3 linked regions of the Cricetulus griseus genome follow. The protein of the gene in region 3 interacts with the protein of the main gene of each other region in a pairwise test. Links are inferred from orthologs where the notes say so. Each region holds a gene or a part of one and is shown on either strand. Other genes may lie near its edges.

Region 1 (3,646 bases), on a different chromosome or scaffold from region 3:
ACCACGGATCCACAACATCCCCACCCCAAGAAACATTTTCTTTTTGAAACAGTGAAGCCTGGCCTCCAACCTGAGGCTTCCTGTTGGCCTGCCATGAAATGCTTTTGAATGGATGAACAGGCGTTTTATTCCCATGGTATCGCTGTGGAAACCAAGGCTCAGAGTAGTGACTTTCATCCCGGGTCACTTAAGGAGTTGGTCACAGAGTATAGTTTTGATAAGGCTGACTGGTCCTGGGTGTTTCCGAGAGTGGGTAGGTCTTGACGGTGCAACTCCCACAGTGTACAGAGGCCTACAGGGGGCAGTGGACACAGGAATAAGGGACTTTTCCTGTTGGAATAGTTAGGATGATCATGGCCCCTTCCCATGTTCCTCGGGGAGTCCCAGCTCTATTTACCAAGTAAGATTGGAAAGGCAGCTTTACTGACCGGATGGGGATGGCGAACAGGTAATTAACTTGGCCTGGACCAGTAGGGGAGGCTGCGATATGGCTGGCATCCCAGCCCTCTCCCTCATCTCTGGTTCTTTTTCCCCTCCTCTAGGATTGGGATGTGTGGATGTTTCTGAGAACTGTGTTCCTGTACAAAGTCCAAATGGCACAGGCCTGCCTAAACCTCCTGCAGACTCCAGGGAGGGGTGGCAAGGCGCCTTCTTTAGATAAGGACCCTGTCCTCAGGAGCTTAGCTAGGGTCATGAAGCTGGGCACATTAGGGCTGGGCTTGGTATATGAAGCTGTCAGATGACCAGCCATCAGCTAACGGAGGGAAGTGCAGCCCCCAGCCCTGGGCTGTGAGTGAGTGTGAGCACCCACAGTGCTATCTCTTGGCCACACTACCTGCTGGGAAGGTAAAGTCAAGGCCAGCAGGGAGCTCACATCTCTCAGCCTTTTTGCTTGAGGGAGAAGCAGCCGGTGGCCACTGATTACTCCTCTATCATTTAGTTCTGGAAATGGGCTTGGAGAGGTCAGGTAACTTGCCTAGGGCCACAAAGCTAACCAGCATAGCCACCAGGCCTAGAACCCAGTCAGCCTGTAGATCTCAGGGTGGGTCCTGCCTGACCTGACAAGACGCTCTACTCCCATGCCCTCCCCCTTCTTATGCCTCTATACTCCTATTAATGGGTGTCACCGATTTCTGGGTCTAAGCCCCAGCACTGACAACAAGGCAAGGTGACCTTCCACTTCCCCATCTGTAAAGTGGGGGCCGTATTCGCCCAGAAGACCAGGGAGCTGGTGAGGTATGGTTCCAGGTGCGGTATACAGATGGGCCCTCTGAGCCAATATGCACCCTTCTTCCCTGCACAGAAGGAGAAGATCCGGGAGAAGTTTGTGGAAGCCCTGAAGACAGAGTTTGCTGGCAAGGGGCTAAGGTTCTCGCGAGGTATGTCTTTCCTGCGGTGGGCTCAGGCACAGCAACAGACACTATCCAATTTTGCCCTTAGGCAAAATTCACTTCCTTCAATGACCACCTGATGTCCAGTGGTCCCCACCCTTCCCGCACCTAGTTCAACTGGCTTGAATATCAGTCAAGGGCTCTGCAGATCTTTCCAAAGCTGATTCTATTCAACCTCTGGCTCTGGCTGCTCCCCTGAGATGCCTGGGGCATATGGTAATCCCAGCTGCCATCTCGGCTTGTTCCCCAGTAGCCAGAGGGGAGAAAAGGTGCCTCGGTCACTTAGAATCTATAGTTGTGTCACTCTGTTGCTCAGAGCTGTCACCTTGGGTCTCACTGGCCATGCTGGCTGAGTGAGCGCATCTTTGCTCCTGCCTGTTGCCTGCCTGGATGAGACCCTGCAGATCTTGAGTCTGCCCTTGATGGCTCTCAGCGTTGTTGAATGAACTAAGTGCTTTAGAGCCAGGCATGCTGCCACAGGTCTGAAACCCCAGCACTTGAGAGGTAGAACAGGAAGATGGGGAATTCAAGGCCATCCTTGGCTACATAGTACAAAGCCAAACTGGGTACATGAGACTGTCTCAAAAATAAAGCATGTTTTGCCCAAGTTAGCCTTGTGAGCTTCCCTGACAAGCTGCCAGCCCTGTCTGTCCCTCCCAGGATTTTGTCGTAACTCCCCACATCCACAGGAGGCATGATAAGCTTCGATGTCTTCCCGGAAGGCTGGGATAAGCGCTACTGCCTCGACAGTCTCGATGAGGACAGCTTCGACATCATCCACTTCTTTGGCAATGAGACCAGTCCTGTAAGTGTGACCCTACCCAGTTCCCCTCAACCCAAAGCACCTGAGCTCAAGGCCAGGACACAGGGCAATAGAACAAAGACCTCTCAGAGCATCCCAGAAGACTCTCACTGTTCCTACTCTGCAGTTCAGAAGACTAAGACCCAAGAAGGACTAGATGCTTGTTCCAAGTCAGGGCAGGTCTGAGAAGCCAGGAGAGTGGGATTCCTGGCAGGTCTGAGGAGGGGCAAGTCTGCAGGAGCCAGTTTGGGAAGGGTAGCTCTTGGGCCTCAATCCTGGGCACCTCCTGTCCTGTAGGCATCACCTAAGATCATCTCTTCTCTGTCTGTCCTTCCTCTGAATGCAGGGTGGGAATGACTTTGAGATCTATGCGGACCCCCGGACTGTCGGCCATAGTGTGGTCTCCCCTCAGGATACTGTACAACGATGCCGAGAACTTTTTTTCCCAGAGACAGCCCATGAGGCATGACGGTGACCACAGCTAAGCATTGGGACCTTCAAAGAGCTCTGGCTAGGCCTGAAGAGAGAACCATGGAGTGCCAAGGTTCCCATTCCTCTGGACCAGCATGTAGCATCATGTGGGGCACCACGAGGCCCACTCACACAGGACAAGGGTCTGTGGCAACTGTCCCAAGCCAGGTGGCTCCCCATAAATAAGACTTATTCCTGCACTCCACTGATGGCCCCTGGCTTCTGATGCTGCTGGTTTCTGTAACAGAATAGGTTTCACCCAGCTGGGAGATAGTGGTGCATGCCTTTAATCCCAGTACTAGGGAGGCAGAGACGGGTGGATCTGAGTTTGAGGCCAGCCTGGTCTACAAAGCTACACAGAGAAACCCTGTCCTGAAAAACAAACAAACAAAAAAAATAGGTTTCACCCCAGAGGGAGGCATGTGAGTTATGCTATGGACCGTGCTGGCCACAACTGACAAGGGAGGAGTGACAGGGAAGGGGCACCTTCCTGTCACAGATTAAAGGACTGTCACAGATTAAAGTTCCCAAGACAAGGTGTTAGATGTGTCTGAAGCTATGATGGTTCCTGTCACATGCTCTTCGGTCAGGGACAGGGGCTTGCCCCAGGAGGTCTTTGACCCATTGAAGCCTGAACATGACCAACATGCGTGTCCTTCCTCAGCCCCTTACCCAAGGATTCTCACAGACAGGCCACTCAGAGGCAGGGTGGGTCACAGTTGAGTTTATTGCCAGTGTTAGGAGGGGATGGGTAATCCGTGGCTGGGGACTCGATACTGCAGGGCCTGAGAGGAGAGAGGAGGAGGCCTGATGCCCCCTGCTACTCAGGCAGCTTCAAAATGATGCCTGAAGAGGGCCTGCTCACAGGAGGGAGGCCTGGGTGGCCCTGGGGTCCACCTGTACCAACAAGTTCCCTGTCAAGGATCTGCCTGTCTGTCACCCAGTGCTGAGTGATAGGCATATTGGGGACTTGATCTCAGGT
Region 2 (3,646 bases), about 170 Mb from region 3:
GGGCCACGGATGTGAGGCGCTCGTTCTCAGACTGAGTGTTGGTGAGGACATTGCGAAGCTGCTTCAGCTCTGTCTGCAGCTCCAGCACCTTCCTCACATAGTACTGCTCTTTGGAGGCTGACTCCTGGATCAGGCTCTCCTCCCGGCTCTCACCATCAGCAGCCACCTTTTTGTGGTTTGTGTGTGCTTGTCCAAATGCCTGTGTGCACAGAAAAGACCTTCATGAGATGGGTGTCCCTGGGCCACAAAGCAATGGAGGCCTAAGACCACAGGAACATAGACCTGTGAAGCAGTTCCATGCTGTGCACATGTTAAAACACACATTGAGATGTGTGTAGCAGGCACGCTTCACGTTTCATTACATTGAGTGAAACCAAACTAGTCTTAGGAGCATCATGTGGAGTGACAGGAAGGAACACTAAGAGTATAGGGTCACAGACATAGGTGGAATTTCCTTTGTAAGGGACAAAGTTTGAGGCCTGATGATGTGTGCCAGTTGGAAAGTTCCCAGGACCAGGAAGCAAATGGTCTATACTGTGAGCTTGGCCAAGCTAATGGGAAACAACCCTAGAGCAGCACACCCAACATACATTCCAGGCTTACAAAATTGTGCTAGCCATTACATGCAAGGGGTGAGGAGCCACTCCATCCTGCTACCTGATGTCAAATCATCCTTCATTTGGTCTGGGACAAACCAGGGCTGGGCCCCCAGCCCTAAGGACAGGGCACAGTAACAACTAGCTAGAGTAGCCATCTCAGGGTACATAGGCACAGAGATGCATGTATCTGCATGCTTCAGACACTGGGGTGAGGAGCAAGGTGTGGGACTCTAGGACTCAGGAAGAAAACCTACAAAGTGAGAGCAACAAGTACTGGCCTCACCCACAACACCGTGCCAGTCACACACTGGGCCCTGGCCAGCCTGGCCTCCATTACATACCCCACTGAGAGGCTGAGCTATCTCCTTGGCCTTCCTTGCCTGACTCTTTATAGGAGTCATAGCTCATGGTAAGAAACAATAGTAAGAGAAGAGTTACTAAAGAACAAGAATATGATGGTTTTCACTAGATTTAAAAGAGAACAGGACTATTTTCTTTCATTTATGACTTCATAGGTCTGGGAACTCAGTCCAAGAAAACAATAAGCAAAACATACAAAGCTACATTGTACAGGGATGCTACTGAGCTGAAGCAGTTTCTAACACTAACACATGAAAATGCAGAAAGCAATTTTCATCCTGATAGGGAACTGGCAGAATGGAGCAGGGTCTAGACTGAGGCATAGGCCGTGTCCCAGACACTGTGAGAAGGCCTCCCAAGGGGCCAGAGGATGCACAGCCCAGTAGACCCAGGGAATGTATCAGAGGGCAACTTGGGGATCACAGTGTAACACTCCTGCAGGGGACTGGATTCCCTCACAAGGTAGCCAGGCCTTGCCCATGTGCTCTCAGTCCTCTAACAGAGCATCCATTCTACACAAATCAAAGCAGCTCAGATTTGTGATTTCTGTCTGTTTGCTTTCACCCTGATCCTAGGGAAGGATCAAGTAACACATTGCTACCTGCACAGAACTTGACCCATGCTACCTGTCCACCATAAGACACACAAAGGGAACCAGACACCAAACTGGCCCCCAACTCAGGGCTCTGGGACTGTACTGAAGAGTCCAGCACCTGTGGCTGCTTAGGACACACCCATAAACTTGGGAGTTGGGGCAAGGACTTCTCAGAACTTTTCCCCAAAGTGTGATGGCTAAGCAGCGTGATACAATCTTCAAGCCCAGGCCTGCCAACCTGGGCCCCAACTCTCTTCCTCCACCCAAGCTACCAGCCTAGGGCACAGGAGCAGCCCTGGACAGCTTTTCAAACACACTGATGGAGACATCTACCTCCAACTGAGAAGACACACAGTCACAAGGACAGGTTCCACTTCCTGTGTAGGAAAAGAACTGGAAAGCACAGGAATAGTCTGATGCAACATGGCTGGTGAGATGGCTCCGCAGGTAAAAGCGTGTGACGTCAAGCCTGACAACCTTTGTACTAAAACTCAAGACTCACGTGGCAGGAGAGAACTGACTCCCCAAGTTGTCCTATGACTTCCATATGTGTATTATGGTATGTGCAGGGCATGAATGTGGTATGTGTCCACACACATACACACAAACAATGTTAAATATGATAAAATAATAAGCATCAGTTTTCAAGTCTGTAATGCCAAGTAAAATGACAGGATGAGGAGAATCCTGCAACATCCTTCACCCCTTCAGATGGAGCTTGATGGCAGGACCTGTGGAAGAAGGTGTCTATTGACAGGGACGTAAGGGCAGCCAGAGCTCAGGCCCAGAGTGAATCTTTACTGAGGATGGTCAGTGTAGGGCTGGGGAAGCCAGGGGAAAGGACCATATGGCAGAGCAGGAACAATATCCCTGCCACAGTCTGAAAACAAGCCTGTTCCCGCTAGCCAGACTCACAGGCTTGGGGAGAGCATGTCTGGGGCCTGGCAGAATCAGCCTGGATTACACGCTGCTCTAGCACAGCAGAGCCAAGTGTAAAGACAGACCATGAAAGGATTAATCCATTTCCAAGCCACTACATCCTAGAACAAAGCTCAGAACACATTCAGGAAAACAAACACATCCAGCTGCCAACAGGTGAGCTCTACGGTGAAGACTTGAGGAAGAAAGGATTAGCAGACAGCACACAGCTCTGAGCGGCCCAGAAGGGCAGGCAGGCTGAGGGCCAGGTACCAGAACCAAATTCTCAACTCAGAAGCAAAGAACAAACACAAGACATAAAGGATGCCAGTAGAAAGAACTTGTGAAGAGGAAAGGCAGGGACAACAACAGACACACCATGCATCTGAGGGATAAACCAACTCTGGAAGACAGCCAAAGTGAATGCCCAAATGGAACAAAAACAATCAAAGCAGGGCCTAACAAATCCATGAGAGCAACAGTGAGGTGCGCGTCAATTACAAGGAGCCTGTCTATCAATTCCTCACAATGCCAGTCGAAGGCCCAGCAGCTTGCAGTAGAAAACTGACGAGAGAAAGAGAGAGAGAGAGAGAGAGAGAGAGAGAGAGAGAGAGAGAGAGAGAGAGAGAGAACCTCAGATCTGAGCATGATAGTCAACAGTGAATGCATGTAATCCCAGCTACTCAGGTGGCTGAGGCAGGAAGGTAGAACAGCCTGGGCAATAGAGATGGGCCCATCTTGGGAGAAAGAACCACCACAAGTGGGTTGGGGAGACCTTGGCTAAGTGGGTAGGTACAATGCTGGCCATGTAATAAGGACCTGAGTATGAACTGCCCAAAGCTACATAAAGACAAGATGTGGTAGTGTGTGCATCTGTAATCCTAGCTTTTCATTATTTTAAAGTACAAGGGCTGAGAGAGGCTCTGCAGGTAAAAGCATTTGCCATTCAAGTCTACTAACCTAAGTTCAATCCCCAGACCCAGGTAAATAAAGGTGGAAGGAGAGTCAGTTCTACAGAGTTGTCCTCTAACTTCTATAAACACACACAGACAGACAGACACAGCGGCATGTGTACACGGGGTGGGGGCGGTGGATAAATTAAAAAAATTAAATACAGTATATTCATATAATGAAGTACTACTCCCAATTAAAAAAAAAAAGTTGATACATCAAC
Region 3 (4,236 bases):
TACTTTGTTTACCAACTTAAAAGATTAATTTACTAATGGCTGAAGATACAGCTTAACTTGTATAGTGCTCATTTAGCACCACATAAAACTAAACATAGTGGCAAATACCTGTAATCCCAGCACTTAGGTAGAGGCAGGAGCATCAGATATTCAAGGCAAATCTTGTCTATACAAAGTTCATGACCAGCCTCATTACACAAGACTGCCAAAAAAAGAAATTAATTTCAAAACAGAAAAAAAAAAGAAAGAAAAATGGGTGCAGTGGATCACCCCTGAAATCTCAGCACTCAGAAAGTTGAGGCAGGAGGACTCCAAATTTGAGGCCAGCCTGGGCTAATAAATGTAATTCTACCTTTTAAAAAAAAAAAAAAAGCAACGAAAAAATAAATTAGAAGTCATAAAACTAATATGTGCAACATAAACACTCAAGAAATTCAAAGGAAACCTGCACATAGTTACAAGTTAAGATCTCTCCTCACACTAAAAGCTTCAATAGAAAGATTAATGGATTTTGTGAAAACTAAGTAGTCCTATACACAATATGAGGCAGTCAACCATCTTCCTAGACTGCATAACAAGTACATTCAAACCTATTTATTAATAATGGCCAATGAACTTTATTTTATATATGGGACTGTCTTCAAATTGCCATGTAACACTAACTGGCTCAGGATCAACTTCACAGGTTTCACCAAGTTACTCATCTAAGAAAATGTGTATTTTATTTAAAATTTTTTTATTACTACATTAAATTTTTTTTGTAGGTGGGTGTTCATGGAGATCAGAGGACAACTTCTGAGAGTTGGTTCTCCCCTTCTTTGAATTTAGGACGTCAAGTGTGGTGGTAAGAACCTGTTTTACTCACTGAGCCACCTTGCTGACCTGGACATGTCTATACTTAAATATTCATAAGCAAACAGGAGGGAGACATGATATTTCCATCCTACAAGGTTGCAAGGAAGACAAATCTAAACACACAAGAAAAATTATTTCCCATGTCCAGCTAAAGGCAAAATTAAACCAGTGTTGACTTGATATAAAGTTCCAAATTGGTATAAATAGTTCAAGCTAATAACAAAACCTAAAATATGGAGGGAAAAAGGAAGATTATAATCTGAATTGTTGTTCAGTTTGTATAATACAAAATAAAGCTGTTGGCATATGTAATCTTAATGACAACCATCACAAAATTAGGACCTTGTATCTAATAGGAAGTACAGTGACTGCAGAACCTTGACCAGGTAAATGACTGTACAATTTCATTCACAAGACTCTATGAAATATTAGGCATAAGATAATCAGTTAGCTCAAATGGTATTCAAATCTAATTTAGAGAGCTGGATGATGGCTCTATTACTGACCTACTGCCCAAAGGCAATCCTACAAAACAAAGATGTTTATTATTTTAATTCTTTTCTCACTTGCATCTTAAACATGTAACTGGAAAATACTCAAGAAAAAATGAATGATTAACATTTCACCCCTTAATCCCTGCTTGCATCATAGATACTCAAATGATGTTCCATGTTGAAATGAGAAAAAAAATGGAAGAGAGGTGAGAAAAATTCGAAGTACACTGATCATGACATAGCATCTGGCAGAGATCGAAAAGGCATCAACACTGCCAAAAGAATTATCAATGATGAAAATCAAAAGAAAATAAGGTTTTTCCAACCAGTCCCAACCTAAGGGACAAAAATCGTCACTGCCAATACCACCTCTTTTCAAGTCGCCTCGAGTTGAATATATTAACTCTCTTAACCCTAATTCTTCATTTAGGTGAAAACTGGGTGAGAATTGTGTTTTTCTACGACCACCACTTCCCACCTTCTGGAAGACCTGTACAACTCAGAGCCAAACCTCAGGGGAAAACAACGCCCAAATCCCACCCTCCTTCAGCCAAGGTTGAAGAGGGGCCTGTTCCCAGGAGTGGGGGGCTTCCCGGAATGGGACCTCACTCCCAGTTCCAGTGAGAACCGGAAAAAGGGCTGGGAATAAGGGTGGGGCGCCAGAAAGCCCGTAGGGGTAAAGGAGACCACGGAGAGCCGAGGAAGAAAGGGATGGACAGGAGGCTGGGCGGGGTGAGGACTGGGGAGGACCGAACGGACCGGGGAGGGCCTGGCTGCGGGCGGCCGTGTCCGGACGGCGACCCGGGGTCTAAGCTAAAAGCCCGATAGATGCTAGAGAGGAGCTGGGGGCGAGGAGGAGCTGGGTGAGAGAGCAGCCAGAGGACCCCGGAGAAGAGCTGGAGTGGGGGAGCGAGGCCGGCGGGGAGCCTCAGTGGACAGAAGGGCCGCACTGGGGGTGGTGCGGGGAAGCCGCGGCCCGCTGCCAGGAGCGGGGGAGCCGCGCACTCACCGCTCTGCTCCCCCAGGAACACCAGCTTGAATTTCCTCAGCGGATTCCCGAAGTCTCCGCCCGCGGACATGATGGAGCCGGAGGAGCCGCCGCCGCCGCCTCAGCCCACAGACCTCTCCCAGACCGCTGCAGCTCTAACCGGCTGACGAAGAGGGCCGAGCGGAAGGGCAGCCGCCGAGTCCTCTCGGCCCCTGCAGGGCCGGGCGAAGGGGCGAGGCTGAAGGGAGCGCGAGTCGCCACCGACCGGCGGCCGCCGCCGCCTCCCCGCAGAGTCGCCTAGCACCGTGCGAGGCCCGCGGCCGCGAAGGGACGCAGGGCGGTGTCGGAGGCAGCCAGGGGTGCGCTCGGGCTTCGCAAGCCTAGCGCCGTTCCTTCCTTTAGAACGCGGCGCCGAGACTGAGGCGACAGAGGAGGAAGAGGGTGGCGGGGCGAGCGCCGCAGACGCGTCTGGAACCCAGCACGCGCAGCGCTCGGGCTCCCACAGCAGCCGCCACCACCGCAACCCAACCCGCGGAGTGCGCGAGCCTCTGGCGCGGTGCGGGGCGAGTCCGGGCGCGAGCCTGCCGCTCCGCCGGCCTCGGGTGTGCGTGCGTGCGTGCGTGCGTGCTCGTCACCGCCAGCGCCTTCCTGGTTTCCCAAGCTCTCCCGGCTCCTCCCGTGCAGCGGAGAAAGGGGCCGCGTAGGTTTCGACCAGCGTCTGGAGAAGCCAGAAGGAGGCGGGACCGAGTTCCGGGTAAGTGAGGGGAGTGGGGCGGAGGGGGCGGATGCTTACGTCACTGTCAAGCTGAGCCAATCAGGAAAAGCAGAGAGCAGGCAGAAGGAGAGTGAGGTGGCGGCGCGAGAGCGCGCGCCATCTTCGCGCGGGGTGGGGGGGAGGGGGGGGTGGGGGGAGGGGGCGGGGCGGGAAGGCTGAGGGCCCTGGCGGCCATCGAAAGTGTGGCGCGCGATTGGAGGAGGGAGGAGGGAAAAGAAGGTGGGACGAAGGCGGAGCCGGAACCAAGGTGGGATGACCGCAGCAATGCGTGGGTGGGGTTGGGTTGTGCAAAGGTGTATCAAAGGTGATAAGAAACCTTAAACGTTGCTTCGCCTTCCTCAGTTCTGCCTTTCACCCACTTGCTCTGTCTTTCTAAACGAGCTTCCTTGCTCGGCATCTTCCTACCTACATTTTCCTCCGTTGTTCCGTGGAGTTTCGTAACTACCAGAAGCAGGTCCTCTCCATTTTGTGGGTGAGGAAACTGGAGCCCAGCAGGAGGAAATGACTTGCAAAATCCACATAGCAATGAAACGAAATCCAGGTTGTCTTATTTGAACCTCAGCTACCTCCTTATTGTTAAGCCATCTAATTCCTTGGTTCTCTGTTAGTTGGCCCTTCTTCAAAGGTATCCGTAACATCAGATGATGGTCATCTTCTATGTGATAGAAATGGGTTTAGATGTCATATAAATCGAACCCCTCATATTACAGATTAGAAACGACTGCCCACATAGGGATGCCCCTTTGGAAAAGACCACACAACATAGTAGAGGAGAGCCTCGATAAGATCTCAAATCGGGGAAGGAATGTGGACCGATCCTTTCCCCTGGAAAGCCGGGCCTCGGCATATTCTTGAGTGGGTCTCCCTTAAATTAGCCATTCCAAGCATTTCCATTTTCTTGCAGATTTGTCAACCTGATTCATGATCCAATAAGGTAATGGTGAATGCTATCAGAAAAAATGAACTAAGCATAGTGTGGACAATTACATAATGAATATAATTAAATGTAAGTTTTCGTCTAAATGGGATCACTTGAAAACAGTATCAGACAGAACTAAAATAAATTAAGTAAAGCATGAATTTTAGTTAATATTTTGATACTGATTCATTTGTTATAACAAGCA

What was found.
Region 1: the proteins of Rab6a (region 3) and Pmm1 interact in binary tests that used the Homo sapiens proteins (3 or more experiments, as listed by UniProt). The two-hybrid records come from large-scale screens. The link is inferred for Cricetulus griseus from reciprocal best matches to the Homo sapiens genes RAB6A and PMM1.
Region 2: the proteins of Rab6a (region 3) and Bicd2 interact in binary tests that used the Homo sapiens proteins (3 or more experiments, as listed by UniProt). The link is inferred for Cricetulus griseus from reciprocal best matches to the Homo sapiens genes RAB6A and BICD2.

What each region holds. Positions count from the first base shown.
Region 1 is NC_048595.1:379,087,633-379,091,278, reverse strand, and holds the end of Pmm1 (phosphomannomutase 1), read left to right. Parts: intron 1-1,303; coding exon 1,304-1,379; intron 1,380-2,080; coding exon 2,081-2,196; intron 2,197-2,539; coding exon 2,540-2,662; 3' UTR 2,663-3,207; downstream 3,208-3,646. UniProt on the Homo sapiens protein: Involved in the synthesis of the GDP-mannose and dolichol-phosphate-mannose required for a number of critical mannosyl transfer reactions. In addition, may be responsible for the degradation of glucose-1,6-bisphosphate in ischemic brain.
Region 2 is NC_048596.1:269,172,693-269,176,338, reverse strand, and holds part of Bicd2 (protein bicaudal D homolog 2), read right to left. Parts: intron 200-3,646; coding exon 1-199. UniProt on the Homo sapiens protein: Acts as an adapter protein linking the dynein motor complex to various cargos and converts dynein from a non-processive to a highly processive motor in the presence of dynactin.
Region 3 is NC_048596.1:98,905,386-98,909,621, forward strand, and holds the start of Rab6a (ras-related protein Rab-6A), read right to left. Parts: upstream 2,861-4,236; 5' UTR 2,429-2,860; coding exon 2,359-2,428; intron 1-2,358. UniProt on the Homo sapiens protein: The small GTPases Rab are key regulators of intracellular membrane trafficking, from the formation of transport vesicles to their fusion with membranes.